2 linked regions of the Astyanax mexicanus genome follow. The protein of the gene in region 1 purifies or fractionates together with the protein of each later gene. This does not show direct contact. Links are inferred from orthologs where the notes say so. Each region holds a gene or a part of one and is shown in the gene's direction. Other genes may lie near its edges.

What was found.
Region 2: the proteins of F-box/LRR-repeat protein 12 (region 1) and styx purify together in Homo sapiens (affinity purification with mass spectrometry; 4 studies listed by BioGRID and IntAct, with this or other methods). This does not show direct contact. The link is inferred for Astyanax mexicanus from reciprocal best matches to the Homo sapiens genes FBXL12 and STYX.

Annotation. Positions count from the first base shown.
Region 1 is NC_064426.1:629,634-636,872, reverse strand, and holds the start of F-box/LRR-repeat protein 12, read left to right. Parts: upstream 1-3,965; 5' UTR 3,966-4,013; coding exon 4,014-4,090; intron 4,091-4,854; coding exon 4,855-4,930; intron 4,931-5,367; coding exon 5,368-5,592; intron 5,593-6,512; coding exon 6,513-7,239. Other genes in the region: leprotl1 (leptin receptor overlapping transcript-like 1), read right to left, coding at 94-169, 2,488-2,503. UniProt on the Homo sapiens protein: Substrate-recognition component of the SCF (SKP1-CUL1-F-box protein)-type E3 ubiquitin ligase complex.
Region 2 is NC_064421.1:3,369,177-3,376,431, reverse strand, and holds the start of styx (serine/threonine/tyrosine-interacting protein), read left to right. Parts: upstream 1-4,087; 5' UTR 4,088-4,278; coding exon 4,279-4,338; intron 4,339-6,560; coding exon 6,561-6,593; intron 6,594-6,676; coding exon 6,677-6,730; intron 6,731-7,255. Other genes in the region: ros1 (proto-oncogene tyrosine-protein kinase ROS), read left to right, coding at 579-772. UniProt on the Homo sapiens protein: Catalytically inactive phosphatase. Acts as a nuclear anchor for MAPK1/MAPK3 (ERK1/ERK2). Modulates cell-fate decisions and cell migration by spatiotemporal regulation of MAPK1/MAPK3 (ERK1/ERK2).

The DNA of each region.
Region 1 (7,239 bases):
AGAAGTGCAATAATCTTGAAATAAACTTTTTACTGGAAGTAGACTGGCTTTATATAAAGTTCTGTAAAGTTTACGTTCTTATAAATCACTCACTTATAGACGGGCAGAGCACAGCCGAGCATCAGGAACATCAGGCCGATGGCTCCACCGAAAGAAAGGCCGATCAGTGCTGGAGAAACAGAGAAGAGAAGAAACAATGACTGTTAGGTTATGTTCACATGGCTGGTCAAAGTTTCCCAAATCTGAGGAAAATGTATGATTAGAATAGCACTGCTGAGGTAAATGTATGATTAGAATAGCACTGCTGAGGTAAATGTATGATTAGAATAGCACTGCTGAGGTAAATGTATGGTTTCCACATATTTGGTTCAGATCACCCTTTGCAAGCAAACTTTTAAAATGTCTTGTGTATTTTGTACTGAGCCTTGGCTGAAAGTTTTATTTTGTGTGTTTTTAGTTTCAGACGACGCTGGTTTTTATTATTGCTTTATTAACTGCTATCAGTGCTAATTTTAAATAAATACACAAATGGATTTTATCAGTACTGCAGATCTTCTGTACCTGGAAAACTTTTCTGTACAGAAATAACTTCTAACCTTAATCTAACACAACTAATCCAGCTAATCAGAGCCTTCAGCTATAGGTACAGGAGAGAGAGACACAGAGAGAGAGAGAGAGAGAGAGAGAAGGGTAGAGAACGAGAGAGAGAGAAGGCGCAGGATCTCAGCCAGTTTAGAGGAGGGTCTGTATAACTTAAAAAACAAAACAAAAAAAAAACAATTGCAAAGTTTTCTTATTTTGTAAAGTTTTGTAAAGTTTTGCATTGTATTGCTGCTCTCTTTTTTTCTGAGGTCTACCCACAGATGTTGTTTGATGTTCTGGTTGGAAAACTGAGGACTGTGGTAGAACTTGGAACAGTTCTTTATATATTTGCATAAATAAATTGATGAAATTACTGTAGAAATTATAGGGATAGACACTTTTCTATCATCCCCACGATATTTAACCTCATATCGCACAGCACTAAAAAAAAGAGGACATTTAAAAGAGCTGATTTATGATTTATGAGTTTAAACACCCATTCACATTAACACAGAAGGCAGAAACGTGCCAGACTTCCAGAATCCACTGTGATAAAAATCACATCTGTATATTTGATTTTTATTAAATACTTGATGTTATAAAGCTTTTATCCTGAAGAAAATGTGTGCAACCAAATCAAATGAGATTTTTTGAGAGGCTTAAACTACCTTAAATTCTTAATTTATCACGTTTATTATCTATATATCTGGATTCTGAGCAGTGTTATCATCACACATCACATTATTTCAGTATCATACAACCCATAATATGACTTTCTGCACCCAAAGCTTACTGAGAATTCTCTCATATGATCGGTCATATGATCTGCCCCCACTGGGACTACAGGGAAGGAGGCAGACTAAATAAATACACTGTAAAATACACGAATTTAAACTAAATTTTACAATAAAACAAGTAAATGATGTTACATGCACTAAATCACCAATGTATTTAATATATATTAATCTATTCATTAAATAATTAGGTAATTAATGATTGATTAATAGCATTTTAAACATGTTTACTGCATCAGCTCACACAGTTGCTCTATGTTTCTACATTATCTGCTTTATTTAAAGCTTTAAGTGCTATTTATTACACATTACTACAGTAATATATTTAAATATTATTAATATTCATCTAAAAGTACTAATAACAACAAAGCAGCACCGCACTGCAGTCATGACGAAGCTAAAGTTGGCTCAGTATCCTAATTCCCCAGTTCCACCTTAAAACACCAGTATATGCACTGTAAACTCGAGCTGTCCACAATACAAAGCGCTGCACTATTTAAGGTGGACCGGTAATAATACTGAGAGTACAGCGCAACAACTCAAGCTGCATATTATTGTGTAGCGTTATAATCTAACCGCGAGCTGCAGCGTCATATAATAATAATTAAACTTAATAAACTCATTATTGTTAAACACAATACATGTTCATTAACATTATTTTGTTTTGTCCTCATGACGAGGCTAAAGTTGCGCGAGAATGCTAACTCTGCAGTTCCACCTTAAAAGCTGCTGTGGTCACACAGTGACGCCCGAACTGTTCTAATACAAAGCGCTGCACTATTTAAGGTGGACCGGAAATAATAGAGCTAACTGAAGTCAAATATTTCTGTGTATAATCAAACCCTGAGCTTCAATGTTGTATAATAATAGTTATATCTAATCATTAATGATAAATACATGTTAATTAAGGTGATTTGTTGTCTAAAAGAGCTATAAATCCAGCAGAACTGAGCCCCGGAGCCCGTTAGCCCGCAGTGCTAACCCACAGATACCGTTAGCTCCAGGAATAAAGCGGCCGCAGCGCTGCAGCAGCTACAACTAAATAAATAAAGCGCTAATTCACTGCACTTTAAACTGCAGATAAACAGTAATAATCCGCTCAGTTTCTCACCTTTAATCCCAGCCATGATTTACAGCGGTAATTTCAGGAAAGATGTAAAATCTCCGGCCGCGCAGTCCGACCCGACAGAACACACTCACACAGTAACAATACCGCGCCTGCAGGGGGCAGCAGAGACCCGCGCGCAGACCGCAGATCTACAAATCATCTTTAGGTGGAGGCCTCATGTTTGTAGATCTGCGCTGCGTGCAAACAAAACTCCAAATATTTACTGTAATACTGTATAAGCCCAAAAAGATCAGCAGCGAATTATTTTCATACTATTGATACTATACTACCATACTATTGATTTTTATTCCCGACTCTGTATTTTAATTAACTTTAATTATTAAGTAAATTTCAATATTTTCACGTCATTATTTATAAATCTCTATTTTTTGAAACACTAAAATACTCCAAAAAAACAACTCAGTATCTCAGAAATAGTTAAATAATTTTGGAAAATAATGAAAGCAATTTATTTTTTAAGAAAAAAAACTTATTTAGGTGTCGGGAACTGGATTCAATAGTAAAACAACAGTTTAATTTAATAAAATATTAGAACATTTGAAAAAAACGTGTTGTTTCTGAGTTAGTTTCCTTTACTGTGTATTACTGTATTGTTTTTATTAAAAAATATATGTAAGTATATTTGTTTTCTTTTTTCTATGTATTTCTATCGGCGTCTCTCTCCCCTCCATCACGGACATTTACACCACCCGCAGCATCCACAAAGTAATCAGCATTGTGAATGACCCCACTCATCCCTCACACGAACTGTTCTCCCTCCTGCCTTCGGGAAGAAGGTACCGCAGCATCCGGTCCAGCACGACCAGATTCTGCAACAGCTTCTACCCCCAAGCCATCAGACTCCTCAACTGCAGAGACTGAACTGATGGTTTTTCTGTACATGCGCACACACTCTTACCCCACTTACCCCAGAAAATGGAAAGCACTAAAAACCCTACTACCTCACTGGACTCTATTGCACACTGTGTAATAGAGTAATTACTACCTCACTGGTCTTTTTTGCACACTTTTTGCACACTGCATAATTTGCACACTGTCTTGTTATTTATTATTCTTTGTCTGTATTGTGTTGTATTGTCTGTCTGCACTTTTTGTACTGTTGCACTATTGTTCTGTCTACACTGTGTTTATGTGCACCATGGTCCTTGGAGGAACGTTGTTTCGTTTCACTGTGTACTCTGTATATAGCTGAAATTACAATAAAAAACACTTTGACTTTGACTTTATTTGCATGCCCAGTAGGGGGCGGAATAAATCGCTGTGTGGAGTCTGCCTTCAGTTTTACTGAAGAATGAGAAGATAAAAAAATAAAAGTCTGTTTTAAACAAATAAATATAACAATGACGTGTTTTTCGCCAATGTATAATTATACTATTCGGCTCTGTTATTTTTTCCTGTTATAATAGTAATTATAAAAAGCTGAATTATGATCTGATTTTGCAGCGATACGGGGACTTTTATGTGGTATATGAGTTGTGAGCGGTTCCGGCTTGTGAGCGTGTGGAAGGATGGATTGTTTTCCAGAGAATATTTTAATAGAGATTTTATCTTATTTAAGTATCAGAGAGCTTCTCCGGTCCGCCAGGTAATATACCCTCACCTGTACTTACCTGTACACTCACCTGTACACTGCTTTACACTGTACACCATGTATTATTACAGGGAGTGAATGGGCTGCTGTACATCACTGTGCTGTGTTTACATTTCTAACAGAGCAGCTGTACTGTCTCTTACCTATTTAATATTATATTTAATCTTATATTTAATGTTTATTTAATGTGTGTACTCTGTCTAATGGTAAGCTGTGTATCTGCTGATGGTTAGAGAACAGTTTAGCCTATAAAGATCTGTGTTGCTGTGTCTATGGAGCTGTTTGTTAACTTGTGGTTTCTGAGGCTGGTAACTCTGATAAATTTATCCTGTACAACAGAGGAAACTCTCGCTCTTCCTTTCATGGGATGGTCTTGATGAGTGCCAGTTCCATCATTATAAAGTTTTTGATATTCTTTGCTGTGATTTCACTTAAGGATGCTCTCAAAATTCTTGAAATTTTTATTTTCTTTATTTAGTTGAGTAGTTGTTTCTTCTCATAATCTGGATTAGAACATTACTCAAACATTCACTATTCACTGTATACCTGTAACTCTACCTCTTCACTACTTTACTTTAACTGATGCTCTCAAACACATTAAGAGACAAGAAATTCAAGTAATTAACTCTTGATGGGTTCAGCACAGCTGTTAACTGAAAGCCTGAATTCCAGGAGAATTCAAAGGTGTTTCCAAACTTCTGACTTTGAAAAAACCTTTAGACATTTATTAACAGGATCTTTATTATGCTCATACGCAGGGTGTGTAAGCGCTGGAGGCAGCTGGTGAAGGACCAGAGACTGTGGCGTAATGTAGATCTTTCAACATGGAAAGGAGTAAGAGCTTCACTATTCTATTCTATTCTGTTTTATACTTGTTTTAATGTATTCTGTTCTTTACTTACTCTGATAGTTTCAATTTCAGACTGCAGACCGAATGCACGAAAAAATGGGAGGGGTAGTTTGGAAGAGGCACTAGGTGATGTATGGGTTTAGGGGTGGGGCAGAAGGGAGAGCTGATTGGCTGAGCTGCAGCAGCAGCAATGGTGCCTCTAATAGTGGTAAGACTCAGATGGTTGGACGTCACCAGGGGGGCACTGTTATTTATTTATTGATTGATTTGCACCATCCTTACCTATAGCATAGATAAACCTGTGAGGGTTCAACTATGCTATAGGAAATGACCCCAAAAATTATTATTGTTATTAGTATTATTATTATTATTTTTTATTTACAAATTTTAAGCATGACTGGTTAAGTGTGTGTGTTATTAGATGACGTCGCGTGTGCTGTGGGTGTTGTTACGGCAGTACCTGGGGCGTGGGCTGCGGTACCTGCGTCTGCGTGGGCTGCTGCTGTCTGCGCGGGCCGGGGCGTTCCTGTCCGAGCCCTGGCTGCAGACTCTCTCCTCTAAATGCCCTCGGCTGTGCCGGCTCACCCTGCTGCACACCGACCTGCGCGGCCTGCGCAGCTGCTCCCTCCTCCCGCACACCTTACAGGTAAACCGCTCACCTCACCCACCACACCTGCAGCTCAGCGCAGCGCATAGTCCTACATTTCCCATGATTCAGTTCACACCCGTCACAGTGTTTAGGATATATTTAATATTAATCTTTCGCTTTTCACCAGGTGTTGTGCTGAATCGTGTCTCTCTGCCAGAATGCGTCTCTATTCTTCGGGCACAGGTTTGTATACTGCTGAGAGACGGATTTCAGCACAACACCTCTTCCTTTACTTCTTCTACTGTTTAATGATGATGATTACCCGAATCAACTTCCTGTAAGTGAATGTGAATGAAGTCCGAACCGTCCAATAAAGTGTTTATCTATTTTGCTTTGTTCTACTAGATGCTTAAGCATATATTTAATAATTATTCATGATGGATACTAAATAATATGAAGTGGATCCTGTATAACTCATATGGGGGAATCATGAATAATTAATAGTGGGTAGTAAATAATTCATAGTGGATATTAAAGAATTTGAATGGATATGGAATAATTCATATTTGGTATTGAATAATTCATAGTGGATCCAGTATAACTCATAGTAGATATTGAATGAATCACAGTGGTTCCTGTATAGTTCATAGTCTATAGTAAATCATTTATAGTAGATATTGAATAATTCATAGTGGATCCTGTATAATTCAAACTGAATCATGTATAGTTCATAGTGGATACAGTACAATTCATATTGGATGATGCATAATTTATACGGGAGCATGTATAATTCATTGTTGATAATTGATCATTTATAGTAGATATTGATTAATTCATAGTGGATACAACAAAAATCATAGTAGGTACAGGATAAGTAATAGTAGATCTAAATAATTAGTTCTGGATCATGAATAAAACATAGTGGCCACTATATAATTCACAGCGGATGGATAAAGCATTGTGTGTGTTTATTACAGGTGCTTGAGCTTCGTAGCTGCGAGGTCCCTCCCGGTTTCTTTACCCAGAATCCCCCTGGTTCACCAGAGCTGGACGGCCCCAAGCCGGCCGCGTCCAAAATCCACAGCAAGCCTCCGAAGTCTCCCTCCTTCTCGGGCATCAGCATCGAGACGCTGGTTTTGGACAACGTCCCGTCCTTCACCAACCAGCACCTGCAGAGCCTGAGCTCGTGGGCGCGGCTGAGCCGGCTGGAGCTGCGGGAGCTGATCCGGGTGACGGCGGCGGGACTGCGGGCGTGCGCCCCCCCCGGCCCCCAGGCCCTCGCCCGTCTCCGCCACCTGGAGATGGACACGGGGAACCGGCAGCAGATGGCGGCGCTGGGGCTGGGGGAGGGCTGGGCGGGGCTGGAGGGTTTGGGGCTGGGCGGGCGGGAGGTGAGCCCCGGTCTGCTGTGCCTGAGCCGCCTGCCAGACCTGCGCTGGCTGCGGCTGCGCAACTGCAGGCTGACGGAGATGATGGTGCTGCGCAGCTGCCGGACGCTGAAGGAGCTGCACCGGCTGGAGTTCTGGCAGGTGGAGTTTGTGACGGAGGGCAGGGGTGGAGGAGAGGCGGAGGGCGGAGGAGAGAAGGAGGAGGGGGAGCGAGAGAGGGAGGAGCCGAGCGAAAACGACCCGGTGCCGAACCTCCGCCGATCGCTGGGGACCCTGCTGCCCAAGTGCAGTTTACTGTTCACTCAGTGCAAAGTTA
Region 2 (7,255 bases), on another chromosome or scaffold:
AGCTCACAGACGCAGCCTTCTGCTGATCCACATCACCCTAGGAGTGATGAGGGGAAAGAGAGAGTGCCATCTATTGTACCCACCAAAAGAGAGAGCAAGACCAATTTTACTCTCTTAGGGCTCCGGCAGCTGATGGCACGCTGCATGACCGGGATTCGAAATAGCAATCTCCCGAACCCACATATATTTATATTAATGCTGTCATTATTGTATTATTCACAACTTCTTTGTATCATTGGGAAAGGGGGACAAAAAGAGTTGCGAGTGTTAATAAAGGACATGAACTCTAGCTCCATATTCCGCATTCACAACCTGGAAACAACCTGTAAATAAAACCTGCTAGCAAATCTGTGTGTGTGTGCATGATAGACATTTAATCCGTCTATTAGCACAATTAAGAAGTTATCTACCTTCTGAACTCATTATTAGTAAATCACTATCACCATGTTTATATTGCTAAATACAGCTAAAAATTGCTAATACAACAGCAGATTCTGTAAAATGAGTGAATTACAGGAATAGGTTGTGGTCAAATTAGATTAATCACACGCATTAACTTCTGTCTGTTTCTTTTACAGAGGAAGAAGAGGAGGAGGAAGAGTGTAGAGGTGAGGATGCAGACGAGGGTTTGGGATCAGGACTGACTCATGTTCTCAGCAATGAAGGCCTCAACTACCTGATGTATCGAGCTGATCAGGCAGAAAACACAAACAGCAGCAGCAGCAGCAACAGCAGTCCCACAGATTACTTCTCTACTACAGAGGACAGATGAAAAAAGGATAAAAGGACTGACCAAATATATATTTAGCCTGTAAATAATGAAAAGCTTTGTTTAATACTGGACTTTTTGACCCTCAAACACTTTTTAAAGAGAATTGAACATGCCACACGCTCCCTAAGTATGTATTTGTGCCTATCGAATGTTTTCTAAAATGAATTAAACATGTCAGACACTCCCTAACATTTTCTCTTCATATGGGATGCACTCTAAAGTGAGCTGAACAAATCATACACTCCCAAAAATATGTTTTTGTGCTTATCAGATGTTTTCAAATGTATGTTAAACATCAGACGCTCCCTAAAGTAATGTTTTAGGAATATTGTTTGTTGTTTAATGTTTTTGTGCCTATTTCATGTTTTCTCTGCATGTATACTAAAGTAAATACCTACGATATGTTTTCGTGCATATTGAATGCTTTCTAAAGCAAGTTGAACATGTCAGACACTCCCTATGGTAAATATGTGTTTTTCACTGTCATGCTTTCTAAAATAAGATGTTTAACACTACCTAAAATGTTTTTTTAAGTAAAATATTCTTTCCAAAGTCATATGAACATGTCAGACCAAGATATAAGTGTAATTTAGAACAATCAAAGAATGTATAAAGATGTAATTATGATATTTTTTTAATAAAATGTGGACACCCATGTTTAAATATATTTTCATTTATATGTCAGAAATGTTTTAAAATGTTAAAATGTTTTTTTTTATATATTTCTATCATACATTTAATTTAGTGAGTTGAATATAACAGATACTCCCTAATATATATTTTGTTCCTATTTTCCTATTTGCTTTCAAAAGTGATTTGCACATTTCTGATACTCTTAAAAGTAAATAGTTTTAACTGTCAGATGCTTTCTAACATGTCAGACGCTCCCTAAGCTTGGTTTTCCTACCAGTCAGATGCTTTCCTAGCTGACTTATACATGCCAGACCCTCCCTAAACTGTATGGCTTAGTACCAGTCAGACGCTCCCTAAACTGTGTTTTTTTCTGTCAGTCAGATGCTTTCTAAACTGACTTGAACATGTCAGGCGCTCCCTAAACTGTCTGTTAGTTTGTACTAGTCTGCAGTGACGCAAATCTGATTTTTTGCTCAATGTGGCTCAGATCAGATTTTTTTATAGCTGTGTGAACGCATTTTTTTTTTTTTCAAATCAGAATTGATTCACTTTGGCTACTGTGGTAGGCCCCTGGGGTTAGGGGCGTGACCACTGTGACCCGGAAGGAGGAAGCTCACAGAGATACACAGACACGGGGATTAAATGAACTCAAATCATACCTTTTATTTGCTTTTAACGCCCTCCACCACACCCAGAATAACTCAATTAAACATAGCTACCGCCCAGTGGGGCTCTAGAGTCTGTAGAGTTACGTAGTTTACTTTTACATGCTACATACGAGTCCGTGCAGCCTCAGCCCTCAGCTCCCCAGTGTAAGAGTTCTTCCCAAATGATGGCGGAGGCTGAGTATATATGCCTGTCTCAACTGGCGGCTCAATCAGCCCTCATGCGGGCCAGCTGAGACAGGCATGGCTTTGCGCTCTGGCGTGGGGCGGACCCACAACTCCCCCGCCTCCTCACGCCACACTACGTTTATATTACAAGTCACATTTTGTGAAATATATTTTTTTCCTATAAGCATATATAAGCGATATAAGCGTAATGCAGGGCACTCAAAGAATGTATAAACATGTAATTATTATATTTTTGTAATAAAAGTGTGGACACTCATGTTCAAATGCCTTTTCATTCATATGTCAGTTTTTCATATCATACTCTTTATTTAATGAATTATATTTTCGTATCAATGACACATTTTTTTGTATATATTGGATGTTTTTATAAAGCGAGATGAACATGTCAGACCCGTGTGTTTTTTGTACCAGTCAGATACTTTCTTAACCGACTTGAACATGTCAGACGCTCCCTAAAGCAGTGTGTTTTAGTACCAGTCAGACGCTTTCTTAACTGCATTGAACATGTCAGACGCTCCCTAAACTTTATGCTTTAGTACCAAACAGGCACTCCCTAAACTGTATGCTTTAGTACCAATCAGACACTCCCTAAACTTTTTTTTATACCAGTCAGACGCTTTCTAAACTGTCGTGAACATGTCAGGCGCTCCCTAAAGTGTATGCTTTAGTACCAATCAGACACTCCCTAAACTGTATGCTTTAGTACCAATCAGACACTCCCTAAACTGTTTTCGTACCAGTCAGACGCTTTCTAAACTGTCGTGAAAATGCCAGACGCTCCTTAAGCGGTGGGCTTTAGTACCAGTCAGACGCTTTCTTAACTGACTTGAACAAGTAAGACGCTCCCTAAAATCATGGGGTTTGTTGTACCCTTCAAGTGCTTAAACTTAAACATATCCTTAAATGTATTTTTTCATACCAGTCAATCGCTTTCTAAACTGACTGGACATTTTACTGTACAATATTTTTGTTCTAAAGATGTTTATTGCTTATTACATGTTTTCTAAAGTTAAACTTGTCAGATACACCCTAAGATTGTTTTTTTGTATATATTGGATGTCAGACCCTCCCTAAGGTCTGTGCTTTAGGACCAGTCAGACGCTTTCTAAAGTGACTTCACCATGAGGCTTTCCTGACTGGAACATGTCAGACACTCCCTAAGATGTTGGGGATTGTTGTACCATTCAGACACTCCCTAAGCTATGCTTTCTTATCAATGACTATAATTTTTTTATAAAAAATATTTCACAGTCATTGTACCCATCGGACGCTTTCTTAAGTGACTTGAACATGTCAGACGCTCCCTAAACTGCGTGCTTTAATACCCAACGCTTTCTAAAGTGATTTGAACATGTCAGACGCTCCCTTAACTGTGTGTTTTTTCGTCCCAGTCAGACGCTTTCTAAACTGACTTGAAAATGTCAGACACTCCCTAAACTGTGTGAATTTCGTACCAGTCAGACGCCTTCTAAACTGACTTGAACATGTTAGACACTCCCTAAACTGTGTGTTTTTTTTTTCGTACCAGTCAGACGCCTTCTAAACTGACTTGAACATGTCAGACACTGCCTAAACTGTGTTATTGCACCAGTCAGCTCTCCCTTAACTGCGTGCTGTAATACCAGACGCTTTCTTAATTGACTTGAACATGTCAGACGCTCCCTAAACTGTGTTTTTGCATCACTCAGACGCTTTCGAAAGCTCCCTAAGCTGTGTGTTTTCGTGTACCAGACGCTTTCTAAACTGTTTTGAACTTGTCAGACCCTCCCTTAACTGTGTGTTTTTTCGTCCCAGTCAGACGCTTTCTAAACTGATTTGAACATGTCAGACGCTCCCTCGGTGGGCTGTGTGTCACGTGATTTGCTAGAGGAGCAGCATGGCGGACACATGCGCCGCTCCTAAACAAACTCCGGCTGTTTTGAGCTCGTAGTTCAGCGCGTTATTCCTGTTTTTAATCCGGTTACAGGCCGGGAGAGCGCCGTTTAACGCTGGATATCGGATGTAATTGTGAGGAGAGGCATGGACGAGGGGAATAAACTGCAGTTCCCGTCTCTCCCTGCGAGCAAGGAGGACCAACTGGTAACGTTTACTGTATTAAATCACATTTCACAGATTTCAGCTCTAATATTTACTTCTAATTCTCACTATTAACACTAATATCAGCACTTCAGGTGGTCCTTTTGTTTTGGCAAGTCATGCAGCTCGCTATTTTGGGTGGAAGCCACGTAACTAGTGCAGGGCTGAAGTTGCATTCCTCCAAATTCTCCAGTCCACCTTAAATGTTACTGCATTTAAGGTGGAATGGACTGCATGCCAACTTTAGCTTTGTGATATAGTATCTTAAAGTGAAATGGCTCACTGTTAAAAAAAAAACATCAAAGCATTAAAAATCTTAGAGATTATGTAGGAGTATTACAATGCACATCTTAAAACTGGGGTTGCCAGAGTCATTCCTGGGATCCCCCACACTGTGCATAATTAAGGTTAGTTAATTTAACGTATTGTGTGTAATTATAATGGTTCACTAGTATAAAGGTACGATCTTAGAGATGCACCCCCTTGTACAGCAGGTGGAGTACCAGTCAAAAGTTTGGACACACCTCATTCAATCCCATTGAATGTGTTTTAATTTCTTTTTTTGATTTGTTACATTGTAAAAATTAATATAATATATTAAAGCTAGATCAAGAATTTCTTGTCTCTTAATAAAGTGTTTGAGAGCATCAGTTAAAGTAAAGTAGTGAAGAGGTAGAGTTACAGGTATACAGTGAATAGTGAATATTTGAGTAATGTTCTAATTCAGATTATGAGAAGCAACAACTACTCAACTAAATAAAGAAAAAAATAAGTTGCTATGAAAAGAAGAATGTCAAGAACTTTGAAAATATCCTCAAGTGCAGTCACCACAAAGACCATCGAATCTATCTTAATGATAAAACTGGCACTCATCAGGGCCACTCTGCGAAGAAGCATTTATATAAGAGTATCTAAAAGCTTCTTCACAAAGTATTTTGGTTTGTTTAACACTGTTTTTAAGTTACTACATGATTCATTATGTGTTCCTACATAGTCTAATAGATCACTTCACTATTCATTTATAATGTAGGAAAAATCTAGAAAATAAAAACATTGAGTGGGAAGGGTGGGCAGCTTTGACTGGTAGCTACAGTGCATCTGGGAAAAATGTATAGCTCTTACCTTTTTCCAGTGATTCTTAATTACAGTTTAGATTTTTTGTTCTTACAAAACAAATTGAATATGTCAGTTGAGTTTGTTTTACCCTTCAGATGCTTCTTAAGCTGTGTTTTCATACCTGTCAAGTGCTTTCTAAACTCACTTAAACATGTCAGACACCCTCTTAGGTATGGAGGTTGGTGTTGGTTTGTGGTACCATTTTTAGACGCTCCCTAAACTGTGCTTTCTTTTTTTTTTGTACCAATCGGAGGCTTTCTTAACTAACTTAATCATTTCAGACCCTCCCTAAGATGTTGAGGTTTGTTGTACCCTTTAGATGCTCCTTAAACTGTGTATTGTGTACCAGTCAGACGCTTTCTTAAAGCAGCACTAGGTAGGATTTCTTTGATTTTTGATCTTTTTAAAGAAGTAAAATTACAGCTTGAAACTCACTGCAGCGCTGCATTGAGGTGTAATAGGAGGAATAGCGGTGCTCTCGTGTCTGTGCCGGAGCTCCTCTGAGCTCAAACCAGACTCTGTGAGTTTTCCGAGGCGGCCGCGACCAACGCTCGCGAGAACTGCGACCTGCTTTCCGACCTTTAGTTCTAACAGTTCTACAAGGACTACTGGTTCATTCTTTACAAACTAACATACAGACACTGGCAGAAGCTGGAAAGAGACCGAATATGTCTGTGAAAGCAAGAAAACGAGAAAGAGAAACTAATCCGTCTGAAACATTTATTACACTCTGCAACTGTAGGGGGCACAAAATCTCAATCCTACATAGTGGAGCTTTAACTAACGTAATAATTTCAGACACTCCCTATATAAGACAGTAAAAAAGTAGAACCCTGATGTGATAATTAGGGGTGGGTGATATGGCACCATATTTCAGGGTATAATATTGTTCACCATATTCAGAAACGTTGCCGATATTATTGCGTATGATACGATATGACACACCGCTTGTGAGACCCTCCCTAAGCTGTGTTTTCCTATCAGTCAGATGCTTTCTTTTCTGACATGAACTTGTCAGATGCTCCCTAAGCCTCCCTTGTGATGGGCTATTTCATATGAATGGAAATTGGGAAATTGGCCATCCTAACTGATCTTCTCCTCTGTTTCAGGACTGGTCGTATCCAATGAGGAGAGAGATGCAGGTGAGTGAGCTTACTGTTTTTAATCCCTTATTTCCTGCTGTTTATGGATTTATTTTTTAATGCATTTTGTGTTGATCTTGTAGGAAATCCTCCCTGGCCTCTTTCTGGGTCCCTACTCAGCTGCAATGAAGAGCAAGGTGAGATGATTTTTTGCTGAAAGACGCTGGTTAAGGTTGAGCTTTTGTTGGTGCATCAAGAGTTCACGTTCATTAAATTTGTCTTTGCTGTAAATTGAATACAGTGACTGGATGGTAAAAGGACTGATAAGGGCAAGATAAGACCTGCATAAAAGGTGCATTGGTGCATTAATCTTACTTAGGTTTAACAAACAGGAGCTGCATTTCATGCCAGCTGTGAAGCATGGGGGTGGATGTATCATGCTTTAGGGTTTTGGTGCTGCTAGTGGAAAAAATGTATTTAAAAAAACAAAAAGTATGCACATAGTAAATTATTACTGTATAATGCAATGGGTCCTGTATTAGAGATCTATAGGCGAGTTGTTGATTTAGGGTACGTCAGTGTGTCTTTGCTATCGAAACAATGGGAAAAGTACACCCTGCCTGGATTGGAATACGCAAAAGGCATGTACTAATTCTCTTAATTAATCATGGGTGTGGTTAATTTTGGACGTAATGTGAAATAAACCAATCAGAGTGTCACTT